3 linked regions of the Mus musculus genome follow. The main gene of each other region encodes a partner of the protein of the gene in region 3 in a complex. Links are inferred from orthologs where the notes say so. Each region holds a gene or a part of one and is shown on either strand. Other genes may lie near its edges.

The links.
Region 1: Pigq (region 3) and Dpm2 share a complex: the UniProt entries of both Homo sapiens proteins name them as parts of the glycosylphosphatidylinositol-N-acetylglucosaminyltransferase (GPI-GnT) complex. The link is inferred for Mus musculus from reciprocal best matches to the Homo sapiens genes PIGQ and DPM2.
Region 2: Pigq (region 3) and Pigyl share a complex: the UniProt entries of both Homo sapiens proteins name them as parts of the glycosylphosphatidylinositol-N-acetylglucosaminyltransferase (GPI-GnT) complex. The link is inferred for Mus musculus from reciprocal best matches to the Homo sapiens genes PIGQ and PIGY.

What each region holds. Positions count from the first base shown.
Region 1 is NC_000068.7:32,569,493-32,573,661, forward strand, and holds Dpm2 (dolichol phosphate-mannose biosynthesis regulatory protein), read left to right. Parts: upstream 1-1,365; 5' UTR 1,366-1,417; coding exon 1,418-1,420; intron 1,421-1,713; coding exon 1,714-1,803; intron 1,804-2,804; coding exon 2,805-2,907; intron 2,908-3,466; coding exon 3,467-3,525; 3' UTR 3,526-4,079; downstream 4,080-4,169. UniProt on the Homo sapiens protein: Regulates the biosynthesis of dolichol phosphate-mannose. Regulatory subunit of the dolichol-phosphate mannose (DPM) synthase complex; essential for the ER localization and stable expression of DPM1.
Region 2 is NC_000075.6:22,155,660-22,158,878, reverse strand, and holds Pigyl (phosphatidylinositol N-acetylglucosaminyltransferase subunit Y precursor), read right to left. Parts: upstream 2,034-3,219; 5' UTR 1,966-2,033; intron 1,148-1,965; 5' UTR 885-1,147; coding exon 669-884; 3' UTR 524-668; downstream 1-523. UniProt on the Homo sapiens protein: Part of the glycosylphosphatidylinositol-N-acetylglucosaminyltransferase (GPI-GnT) complex that catalyzes the transfer of N-acetylglucosamine from UDP-N-acetylglucosamine to phosphatidylinositol and participates in the first step of GPI biosynthesis.
Region 3 is NC_000083.6:25,939,182-25,943,515, reverse strand, and holds the start of Pigq (phosphatidylinositol N-acetylglucosaminyltransferase subunit Q), read left to right. Parts: upstream 1-1,526; 5' UTR 1,527-1,701; intron 1,702-4,120; exon of another isoform or gene 4,121-4,334. Other genes in the region: Nhlrc4 (NHL-repeat-containing protein 4), read left to right, coding at 1-155. UniProt on the Homo sapiens protein: Part of the glycosylphosphatidylinositol-N-acetylglucosaminyltransferase (GPI-GnT) complex that catalyzes the transfer of N-acetylglucosamine from UDP-N-acetylglucosamine to phosphatidylinositol and participates in the first step of GPI biosynthesis.

The sequences.
Region 1 (4,169 bases), on a different chromosome or scaffold from region 3:
GATCTGCAATATTTTTAGGGTTCTTTTCTGGTTACCCTACAGCTGACCACGTGGTCTGGCAGGATGAGCAGGCCCATCTTCTTCTGTGGGGAGAATTTGCTTTTGTGTTATTCCTTTCTAACCAGGTTACCACTGCACCCCATTCCGTGGGCTGTTCATATCTGTCTCAGCTTATAATAGAAAATTATGTCATATGGGGAAATCAGCCTAGTGTCAATGTTTGGTTTGGGGGTGGAATTAAATGCCGATGTTTTTGTTACTGCTTTTTGTTGGTGTTTCTTTTCATTCTCATCACCGTGTTGACTTGGGGGCTGCTAACAGGAGTTAGCCATGTATGTGTAAGATGACATGCTGGGGAAAGTAGGTTAGTGTTCTCCAGTCTGACCCCAGTCATAATGCTCACCACAAACACACACATACATATTACATATATGTCCACACATGTTTGTATGAATATGAATGGGCACTTGACAAAGGTCGGAGAACACCTGTTACTCCTGAACCTCTTCTTGTTTGAGACGGTGTCTCACTCTGGTTTTGGGGAAAGAATAAAACGTTTTTATTTGGTATTTATAAGGTTTCCTTTAGCCATGAGGTTTAAGGAGACCTACTACTCCTCATGCCTCCAGAGTGTTGGGACTACAGAAATGCACCACCATGCCCAGCATCAATTCGGGGATCTTAAAGCCCCACTTTTGGTCCTAATCATCGAAGAAACTGGTTAAAAATACCTGTCAGGGCACAAAGAGGGAGCTGTTGCCTCTGGTTGCAGAAATGGATAACCTGCATGGTGTAGCATTTGGAGAAGAATGGATCTACAGCAGCTAGCCCCATATGCCATGAGAGTAGTGTTCTGGGTGAGAAACAGAAGAAAAGCATGAAAGATAATTTGGCCCAGCGCCCCTTGGTTCTAAGAGGGCCATTCTGAAACCTCTGGCAGTGGACAATGAAGGGAAGCCTAGAAAGTTCCCTAGGAAGCCAACCAGTGGAAATTCTCATAGGCCAGGCCAGTGGTGGTCATTCTATACAGACTCTTCCATTAACAGTTTCAAGGCCAGAATGTAGAGCCTTTGAATTCTGATGTCTGCTTCAACAACCAACTCATTATGATCTATCCCTTTCCGGGACTTCCAACTCTGGGGTACATCTCACTCTGGCTTGGGACTGTAGGATAATGTTTAAATGATTATTGTTTGGGAAGGGTCTGACAGGGATGTAGCCACAAAAACCTGAAAGTCTGAGCTCCCGGCCCTACAGTTCCCTGCAGAAACTACATTTCCCGACATGCACTGGAGGGCGGGGAAAAGTGCCCGCACGTCAGCTCAGACGAGTCTCCGCGTGTCACGTGATTTACAAGCCGGAAAGGCCTAAACCAGGAACCGGATGTATTTTGTTGCTCCGGCGGAACGCTGGAGAGATGGTGAGCCTGGGGTGGAGTACATGTGTGATTTGAGGGTACCAGGGGTCGGGGCTCTGAGTAAGAGTCTCCTTGGGAGATGGAGTTGGGCTCTCCAAACCCAGATCGCTCTCTCCACCGCTTGCAGACAGGTGACACGAGGCCTGACGTGGCTTTCTAAACCCGAGAGCCACTTCTAGTAAGCCCTCCGTGGTTCTAAATGAATGAGAGGTTTGGAGTGTAAACCGGCTGCTCCGACCCTCCGTTAGTGCTTGTACACGAGCCATCTCGCCTGCTGAGCCTTTATTTTTCTCCAGGCCACCGGGACAGACCAAGCAGTAGGATTTGGCCTTGTCGCCGTTAGCTTGATCATCTTCACCTACTACACCACTTGGGTGATTCTCTTGGTATGTGTGCCCCACCCCCACCCCGCTCACCTTCATTTTGCTCTGGATCTCTAAGCCAGTTTCCTAACGCGACTTAATCAGCGTCTGTGTGCCAGCGTCTGGATGTTTAGCTAGCTCTAATCTCACGAAATCTACACTATGGTGCTTGCAGATGGTGTCTACATTTTATAGATGAGGAGGCTAAGACTCGGGGAGAAGGCTGTTTCTCAGCCTCTGAACTGCCGCACAGTGAGGCTTTATTTTGTGTTTGTCCTCCTGGTTAGCCAGCAGGTTCCTGGGTGTAGCAGTCGCCGGTGGAGTTTATTAACATCTCAAGTCTCTCTCTCTCTCTCTCTCTCTCTCTCTCTCTCTCTGCCTCTCTCTTTAATGTGGGAAATTTTGTTAGTTATTGTTTTAAAGTACACTGTGCTTGGAAAGGGGCATCTTGCAGTACTTGGTATCCTTCAGAGAGGAAAGTTAGGTGGGCTGACCTTCGGTGATGAAGAGAACTGGCTGATTCTCCAGAGGACTGGGGTTCAAGTTCCAGCACCCACATGGCCAGCTACAACCATCTGTAACTCCAGCTCCAGGAGACCCAGCAAAAGTCCCTGGAACGGAACGCCATTGCTGCTTAAGTTGTGTTAGGAGTTAGATTGGAGATCCAGGGCTTGGATGAAAGTACACCTGGACTCACAGGCACAAATGCATGATCAAAAAATAAAGACCTCTTTAAAAGACCTAGAGTTCTCAGAAGGCAGAAGAAGGGGGGAGGGCAGCTTGGTGAGGTCAGCCAGGGCCTCAGAAATCAAAAAGGATGGTTTCCAGCACTCACAAGGCCCAGGCAGTATTCAACAATACAGAGACAATATGGTGGGTCTCTTGTTATGATACATATCCACGCTTGGGGATGCTATCAAGGTGGGCCCTCAGTATCCAGTGCTGCCAGGGGGAGGTGGGACGGCTTCCCTTTGGGGCTGAGTAAGGTGAGCAGTACTCACCAGAGCTCTTGCCCTTGGTGCCAGCCATTCATTGACAGCCAGCATGTCATCCACAAATACTTCCTGCCCCGCGCCTACGCCGTCCTCCTCCCGTTGGCCGCAGGCCTCCTGCTGCTCCTATTTGTGGGTAAGTCTCCCGATCTGGGGCAGGGTGTCTGGAAGGCAGCGTGCTTCCACATGCTGGCACCTGCTGTACATCTGCTTAGACTCTCCTTGTCACCAATGCTCCCCGGGGCTTTCCTATTCCTTAAAGGCCACGGGCAGAAGCTCCTCTAGTGGTGTTCCCAGTTTTCAGGTTCCTGGGGCAATGAGGACATGGCTCCCCTTTCTTTCCTGTCTCAGCTTCATCTTCATCTCTTCAATGTTCCTGCCTCAAGTCACCCTGGCATCTCTTACGGCTCTGTGGGTTGGGAACTGTGTCTTTGCTGTTACGCTATTCTAAGCTCTAGCCCAGGAGCCTAAAAGAGTGCTTGGGTTGACTGAGGAACCACATGGCCGGATGATGCACAGGTGGTTAGCCTTGCACCATTTTGGTGATAGTTAACTGACCCTCAGTGGCTGTGTGACCTAGTGAATGACTGCAAAGATGCACCCCTAGGGGGGTTGGTTGGGAGCCTGACCTTGCATGCCTGGCCACCTAGCTTCCACTCCAATCCTCCCAGTCCCTCCTATTCTGTGTATTACAGGATTGTTCATCACCTATGTGATGCTGAAGAGCCAGAAGATAACCAAGAAGGCTCAGTGAAGGTCCAGCAGGGATGAGGCTGTAGGGGCCTTCTCCATATCTCCTCCAGAAAAGGGACCAAGGGTCACAGCTTACAAGATGGTCAAGCTGGCTGCACTGCAGCCCTCTTTGGGACATGGGGCTGTTTTCTTCTCAGTTTGACAACCTGGAGCCCTCTCTCTCTTGGTCATCCTTTTAGAAGCCAAGAGAAAGGTGGGTTGGGAAGCCTCTCACTTCCCTTAGGCTCAGAGGCTGAACATTGCTGGTTGGTCCTGTCCATCTCACAGTCAAAGCTCCCTGTCCCTTCCACCGAGTTCTCTCCTCTCACCTCTGTGCTCCTCCCACTGTGCTGATGGATTGAGCAGGCCTTCCCGCCTCTCTGTACAAGTCCTGTCCCGTCACAAGGCAGCTCTTCCGAGTCTGACACTTCCCAGGCTCCATGAGGACTTCTGGACCCAGGAAGCCCTGGGGAAAGACTGACAAACCCCAGAACCACAGGGTTACATCCAGGCAGCCACACTAGACCACAATTGGCCTGTTTGGGAAAACTTACAAATAAATGTTAATTGCGTTGGTGTTTGTCTCTCTGCCATCCTTGCTCTGGGGAAACTGGCTAGAGGAGGCTCAGATGCTACTGAGTTGTGCAATGAGGGCACCTCAGGTTG
Region 2 (3,219 bases), on a different chromosome or scaffold from region 3:
AGTCTCACTATGCTGGCCTGGACCCTCAAGAGATCCACCTCTGCCTCCCAAGTGTGTGTGTCACCACTGCCTGGCTTCCAAACAACTAACTTTTAAATGAATGGGCTAAAAAAAAGACAGTCCTTAGGGCCTGGGTGCTTGGTTGGCAGAGTGCTGGCTTGGCGTTCCTGAAACCCTGGGTTCCTCCAGCACCACATGAATGGATGTGGAGCTCTTGCCTATAAGTTTAGCACTCAGGAGGTAGAGACAGGAAGGTAAGGAGGACAAGGTCTGCCTCTCACAGCTTGAGGTTCCCCAGAACTAAATGAGAAGGCAATAGGCGGGCAGAGAGATGGCTCAGGGGCTAAGAACATGAACTCGCATCCTTTATGGATGATCTGAACACAGCTCCGGTAGCCTACAACTGCCTGTACCCCCAACTCCAGGGACCCATCACTTGCATGGCCTCCTTGGGCACCCACACTCACATGCGCATACCCACACACAGACACACAATTAAGAACAAATCTTAGAAGAAACAGTCTTTGGATGAAGGCTGGTCGTGTTCCTCTCCCATAAGACATTTTATTGAAAAGTATTTTTCAGCTACAAAAGAATCTGCAACAGCCAGGAACCTCCGGCCATGCCCCACTCCGCAGGCAGCCCGAGCAGGAGGGGCCTCGGCTCCCCTAGTTATGTCTGAAGAGCTTCAGGCCCATCCATGTCCACAGATGGAAGAACACGTACACAGGCACGGTGACCGGCAAGAGCAAGCTGTAGAAGCACAGGCTGCTGGCGCTGGTGCAGCCCTCTGGGAAGCCTTCCTCCACGGAGGCGGAGTAGAGCAGGCCTGCCAGCGAGACCAGTGGGATGAGGACGGTCATGGTGGGCAGGGACCGGATCATCTTCCTCCCTTCTTAAAAGGTTAACTGTCTCAAGAAAACTCAGTTGTTTGAAAAGTTCTGTTCTCGTGCGGGTGCGCTCTTGTCTTATCTTCCCCTTGTCCCGACTCCTCATTCACCCAGGCATGCTTCCCAAGGGCACGCAGAAAGTCCAGGGGTCCCAGGCCGAAGGTGCCGGCTCCTCAGCCTCCGCGTCACACGCAGCGGTTACCAGCGACTGCAGACACCACCTGTGTCCCTCGCAGCGCAGGCGAGAGGTCTTTTAACTGTATGAGAAAAATGCAAGATGACAAGATGAAGGGCAGGCGACGGGAAGGGAGAGGAAAGGATGGGGAAGCAGCCAGTACCAGCACTGAGTAGGTTAGAGACAGGATTGCTGGAACCGGCAGGCTGGCCTCGAACGTTGTGATCCTCCTGCATCAGCCTCCCCAAGCCACCACATCCGGCTAGAAAGAAGCCTTTAAAAAAAGGAGTGTCCTCCAAAACTGCCTATAGTGACCCCCATCAGAGGTATCAGTATTGAGGAGGCAGTGACAAAAGAACGGCTGCCAGACCATGCTTAAAACACTACAAGTGTCATGAATTACTTTGGGAAGTAAGCAATTTGAAAAACAGAATGAAGGACAGGTGGACTGATAATGTTTTTGTGAACTGGGGAAGCGGAATGCGACCTACAAATCCGGGTTCGCTTCAGACATCTGAGTGAGGCTTTCTATACGAGGACTGGCTGGGAACCAGCACCAGAACCTGGGGCCAGGTCACGAGCCACCCGCGGTCAATGCACAGACCGAAGACAGCGCCATCCCTTGGGCGCAGTCGCCTCGGGGACCAGAAGGGGCAACGAGCCCGCTGCAGTCTCTGACCGACGGAGGGACAGAGCCGAGCCGAGCCGAGCCGAGCCGAAGAAAACCGAGCCGAGCCGAGCGGGGCAAGACAGGACAGGGGGAACCCGGCCGAACCGAAAACGAACCAGCCAGACAAACGGAGTCGGCGGCGTCCATGGCGCAGACGCCAAGCTGGCGCGAGTCCCGCCCCAGCCGGTTTCAACAGCTCCTCCGCTCGTATTTCGAGACCCTCAACTCACCGTTTGCAGGCCTGTAGGAGTCCGGTCCCTTCGGCGCCTGGCGGTGACAGTCACCGCCCCACGAAGGCGGGACAGCCCGGCCAGCCGCCCAATCAAATCCCTGCAGGGGCGGGGTGAGGAACCCAGATCCCGCGATGGAGCCGGTCCGCGCGTGCTCATTGGACAGTTCACCTTGCCTTCGCTCCCAGGCTCAGGCTCCGCCCCCGTGGTCTTGATTGACGGGTGAGGCCAGAAAGACTCTGAGAGCACCGGATAGCTAAGGATCCCATCGTCTCTGGCTGGGCGTCCCCTATGCTAGTCCTGCTGGAAGTAGGAGAGGAACGTATTTGCCACAGTTTATTCATGGCGCTCCAGAGCAGACAGTGGGGTCTTTCTGCACTGAAAAGCCTTCCCCACTTTTTTTTTTTGGTTTTTCGAGACAGCCCTGGCTGTCCTGGAACTCACTCTGTAGAACAGGCTGGCCTCGAACTCAGAAATCCACTTGCCTCTGCCTCTGCTGGGGTTAAAGGCGTGCACCACCATGCCCGGCTGCCTTCCCCACTTCTAATTGATAAACTTGAATCCTGAATCGCACCTGGCCTCAGCCACTATCATCTATCCTCTTAAGCAGCGGAAAGATGACTGATACATTATTTTACGTATGAATCGGTAAATGGCAAAATAATAGTTTGTGCTGATGAGATGGCTCAGCGAGTATAGGCGTTTCCTGCCAGGTCAGACTACCTGAGATCGACCTTCCGGTACCCACATGGTGGAGAACTATTTTCCTCTGACCTCCACACATGTATTGTGGCACACCTGAGTGTACTCCCGCAAAAAGTGCAAAATGAAGTTTTAAGAGAAAATGTAGCCAAGCACACTCCTAATCCTAGCACTCCTTAGGCAAAAGCTAGCGGATTTCTGTGAGTTCGAGACCAGCCTGGTCTACATAGCAAGTTCCAGGTCATCCGGACTACATAGTAAGACGATGAGTGTGTGTGCCTTGGGGTTGGGGGGAGGGACGGTGTTCGTAAATGCTGTCCACGGGGCCGGCCACTGCCTTGCCTAGTGAGGCAGTGTTATCTCTGATCCCAGCGTAAAGAAAAATGAGGCTGAGCTAGGATTCTGCACAGTACTGCACAGGAAGCTCCATCCCTTAATCTTCCCGCAAGCTAAAAGATCAGAAAGTTTTTCTTCTCAGAGGTAAGTAGTGGTATAGAGTCCGTGCAGCTTCTGTTGCAACCACAAGGTGGCAGGAGAGAGCTGAGGACAAAC
Region 3 (4,334 bases):
CTTTGTTTCCCCGGGTTGGGCCACCCATCTGTTTGCAGTTGGAGGGACTAAAGAGGCCCTTGGGTATGGCCTGTGCACCCCAGGGCCAACTAGTGGTGGCAGATGCAGGGGACAACTGCATCAAGTTGTACCAGTATCTGGGGGAGATGGCCTGAGGGGTAGGCTCTGGGGGAAATTGCCCCTTGCTAGGACTGGCCGGGCCTGAGTCCTTTGTACTATCATGGAAGGTTGGTAGGCTCCTTGGGGCCTGCTGAGCCGTCTTCCTGATACCTGGTCTTAGCTGGCTTTGTGATTTCCTCTTGGCAAGTGCCCCTGTCTACACAGAAACCATGAATCACCATTTCTTGATGAGGTTCTAAACTGGGCCATCTCCACTTCCCTATTAAGTATGCTCATAGGTTTTCATGCCCCTAAAACCCAAGGGCCACTCAGTCCCTGGCTCTGCTAGCTTGGGTCTCGGGAGGCCTGAGCTTTGAGGCAACACTTGAAGCTATAGATCCTGGGTGCTGAGGCTGTCTGCCAGCAGATAGCTAGGCAAGATCTCCTGCCAGGTGTCCAACCCCTACATCCTAATCAGAGGCAGGCAGGCAGGCAGGCAGGGAGGGTGTGGCTAGGCTGGGTTGGGCAGTTTAGGGGAAGGGTGTGGTCCCTTAGTGTTCCCCCCAGCTTCAAAAATATTCCCATTCTTGAGCCTCCAACAGCACTCTGGGCCCAACAGAGAGGTAAGGAGTAGGCAAATCAGAGGGGTAAGGCCAACATGTGTCCTGGTAGGGCACATAGCAAGGGCAGGTCCTCTACTGGACACTCCCTGTTTTGAAAGATACCTTCAGTTTTCCCTTCAATCCAGGTCCAAACCACTTTTGAGCACTTAGGTGGGGTGCTGGGACGGTTCTGGGTAGCACAGGTTCTTTCATACCCTTCCATTCAAGACAGGAAAACAGTAGCCTTTCCTCCCATGTTACAGATGAGATCTGGAAGGGGAGGGGTGTGTGTGTGTGTGTGTGTGTGTGTGTGTGTGTGTGTGTGTGTTTGAAGAGCTTACTCATTGAGAATCTGGTCTCACCCATGTTCTTCATGTGGGAAGAAGCAAGAAAAAGCTCCTTGCTTTTGCTCCTTTAGGGTGTGGGGTGGCACCCAGCCTGTCATCTGGACGTTGAGGTCAACACACATGTCACTCCTGCAGGCTAAATCAATATGCCCTGTTCATTATGTTGTGGGGGATTAATGGACAATGAAAGAAACTTTGCTTGTAAGTAGATGCTCAATAAACACTAGTTACTGCGTTGTTAGGGGTATTGCTTTCAGACTATGCGGCCCACACGGGTCTGCATGCACCCTACTCGCAATGGATAGAAACAGATGGAAGGGCCTGGGTTTAGGAGGCCAGGCGGTAAGAACAAAGCGGCTACCATGGTCCTCAAAGGCTGGATCCACCGGACCTTTCAGGATATTTACAGCGAGGGTAGCTTTGATGACAGGAGCCGCGCGCGCGGAACTCTCGGGCTCAGGCGATGGACAGCCCGGGCATGTTTGGGGACCGGACCGTCGCGCGACAACGCCGCGGAGCCGGCGGAAATGGTGCTGATGTCCCGCGGCGGGCCTGGGAGCCGCAAGCACGGTCGTCCTCCCGGGCCCGCCGAACGCAGTGCCCAACCCAGTTCCTTCCCTACCGCTCGGGGACGCGGCCCCGGGGACCAGCTGGTGAGCACTAGCGGGTGGCGGGGCCGGGAGAGGAAGAGGAGGAAATCCCGAGGTAGCGCAGGCCTCTTGGTCCTAAAGACTCTGAGATGGGAAACCTGAGGCCGGGATAGAGGGAGAGGCGGCCACCCACGCAGCTGACCTCCAGGCTCAGCGGCACCCGTTGTGGGTCTGGGCCTGCTCTCCGGAACTTGAGGGCACCGAGAGGCCCCTCCTCCCCTCCAGGCCGGGAACTGGCTGGAAGATTCCTGGGGCACTGGCTGAGAGGCTCATATTTATCCACTCCAGTAAAGATCAGAAACAGATTACCCCCTCCTTTTGAAATGAAAAAGGAAAGCATTTACAGAGGCGGAAAATGTGTTTCTGTGCAGGTTCTCTTTTAGGCTAGGTTGGCCTCAAAATCCTAGTGTAGCAAAGGATGACCTTGAATTTTTGATTGTCCTTTGGCCACCTCCTGATTACAGATATGCACTGCTACTACTGGTCTATGAGGTTCTGGGGACTCAACACAGGGTCTGGTGCAGGCTAGGTAGGCTCCATACCAACTGACTACATCCCTAGTCAGAAAAGTGGTTTTGTTGTTGTTGTTGTTGTTTGAACGTGGGGTAAATATGAACCCTCTCAAAGATTCACAAAGTAATGTTTCAGCTATGATGTGTCCCAGGTCTCTCTTAACTGGGCTGGCCATCCCTCAAGCCTGTTCCTTGCAGGGGAAGTAAGCAGTAGCTCTGCTGCTGAAGTCTGACTTGGAGTTCTGTGAAGAGACTTCCTGGGGCCTCTTATTTAACCCTCCTGGGAATGGGCTGTCGGGGAGGGAACTGACTCCTTCTTAGCAAAGGTAGCTTTTCCAGGCTTGGGCTGTTCTTTTAATCAGCATCTTTAAAGGCCTTCACGCATCCCAGGTTTTTGCCTTCTCGCTCCAGCCTCTCACCTCTTGTATCGATCGCCTGCTCTTTCATCATCATTTTCTGCTGCTGGGATCCCAGCAGCCCAGTGTAAGCACACTCCTTCTTACACTTCAGTGCATCCGGAGGCTGAGATGGGAGTGAGGGTGGGGATTTGCCTCAACTTGAGTTCTCTCAGTACCCCACAGATCAGAGCTCCAACCTCTCTCTGCCTTGCACCTTCTTTCCTTTGACCCGAGCTTTTTTGCTTTAAGGTAAACTGTAAATGAAGCATACTCCACAAGGAGGATGTGCATAGACACAGTGTGTATATAGCACAGTGGATTCACGAGTTGTGAGCAGACTCCAAACCAACCTTTGAAACATCTGTTTATAATTAGATCAAGGGCATTTCTCTTCCTACACGGTTGTGAGCATTTTTCCTTAGTTCATGTGAAGTGTTCCCCCAGAGAGTCAAATGATATTTCACTGAGCTGGTGTGTCCTTACAAAGTTGTTGAACAAGAGTTTGGGCTGGGCTGAAGGGTTCCCTATGACAGTGACCCGCCGGGGCTCTTACAGGCGGAATGGCTCTAGTATTTTTAGCCGTGCCTCATGTCATGGCCTTCTGGAGTCAGTTCCTACTGAAGGGACAAGAGAAATTGGTTCTTGACACTGGCTATGGGGATTTAGCCTGCCCTAGTGTTGGGCGTCAGGTTTTCCCTATGGACACCTACCAATTGCCTGCTTCCTCCGGGTTCTTTGGAGTTTTGTTTTCCTGGAGACTTCTGACTCAGAGTTCTATGGAAAGGCTTCCCGAGACTTCTTTAACGGCTTTTTCAGGCTTGGACTGTTCTTTTAATCAGCACCAGCATTTGGAAGTCCTACAGTGCTGGGTCCCATTAGTCCTCTCAGCATTGGGCTGGGTTATAGTTCATATGAGACCCTAGGTCTAGTCCTCAATATCAAAACCAAAAAGCTTTGCCACATTGTCCATGTGACGGCTTTGGGCTGGACAGGAAGGGAGCAGCTGCACCTGGATCCTTCAAGCTCTGGCCATTTGTCTATGGGCCAGCTACCACCACCACTTGTGTCACTGTCTATCCCCTCGACTCCAATTGTTTTGTGCAGACACTAGACCAGGAAACTAGGCTTCAGCCCAAGATCTGGGCCTCCCTCAGGAAAGGATCCAAAAATGGGGTCTTTGTTCATGGTTGCTGTGTCCTTCACTTCACATGGGCAAGATGCGGTATTGACTAAAGAAAGGCATATGTAGGCACTTGAACCTTGCCAACCATTCCAGCAGTTCAGATCAGCAGGCACAAGTGGAGGACACCCACAATCTCCAAACAGCACCTTTTCTGTGGAAGGAACAGAGTGGGGTCCACAGAGTAAAGGATTTGTAGCTACTATGGTGGTTTTTTTTTTTTTAAAGATTTATTTATTTATTACATGTAAGCACACCAGGCACACCAGAAGAGGGCATCAGATCAGATCAGATCTCACTCATTAGAGGTGGTTGTGAGCCACCTTGTGGTTGCTGGGATTTGAACTCAGGACCTTTGGAAGAGCAGTCAGTGCTCTTAACCGCTGAGCCATCTCTCCAGCCCCTGTGGTGGTGCCCCTGTGGTGGTTCTTAATGCTCACACCAAGAGCCTGAGAGGTCAGGAGGGCTGCTGTTCCCTCACAGAAAATGCGTTGACATTCTCTCATGGAGAGAAATACTGCTCTGCTGGGAGCCCCATCTTGGGGT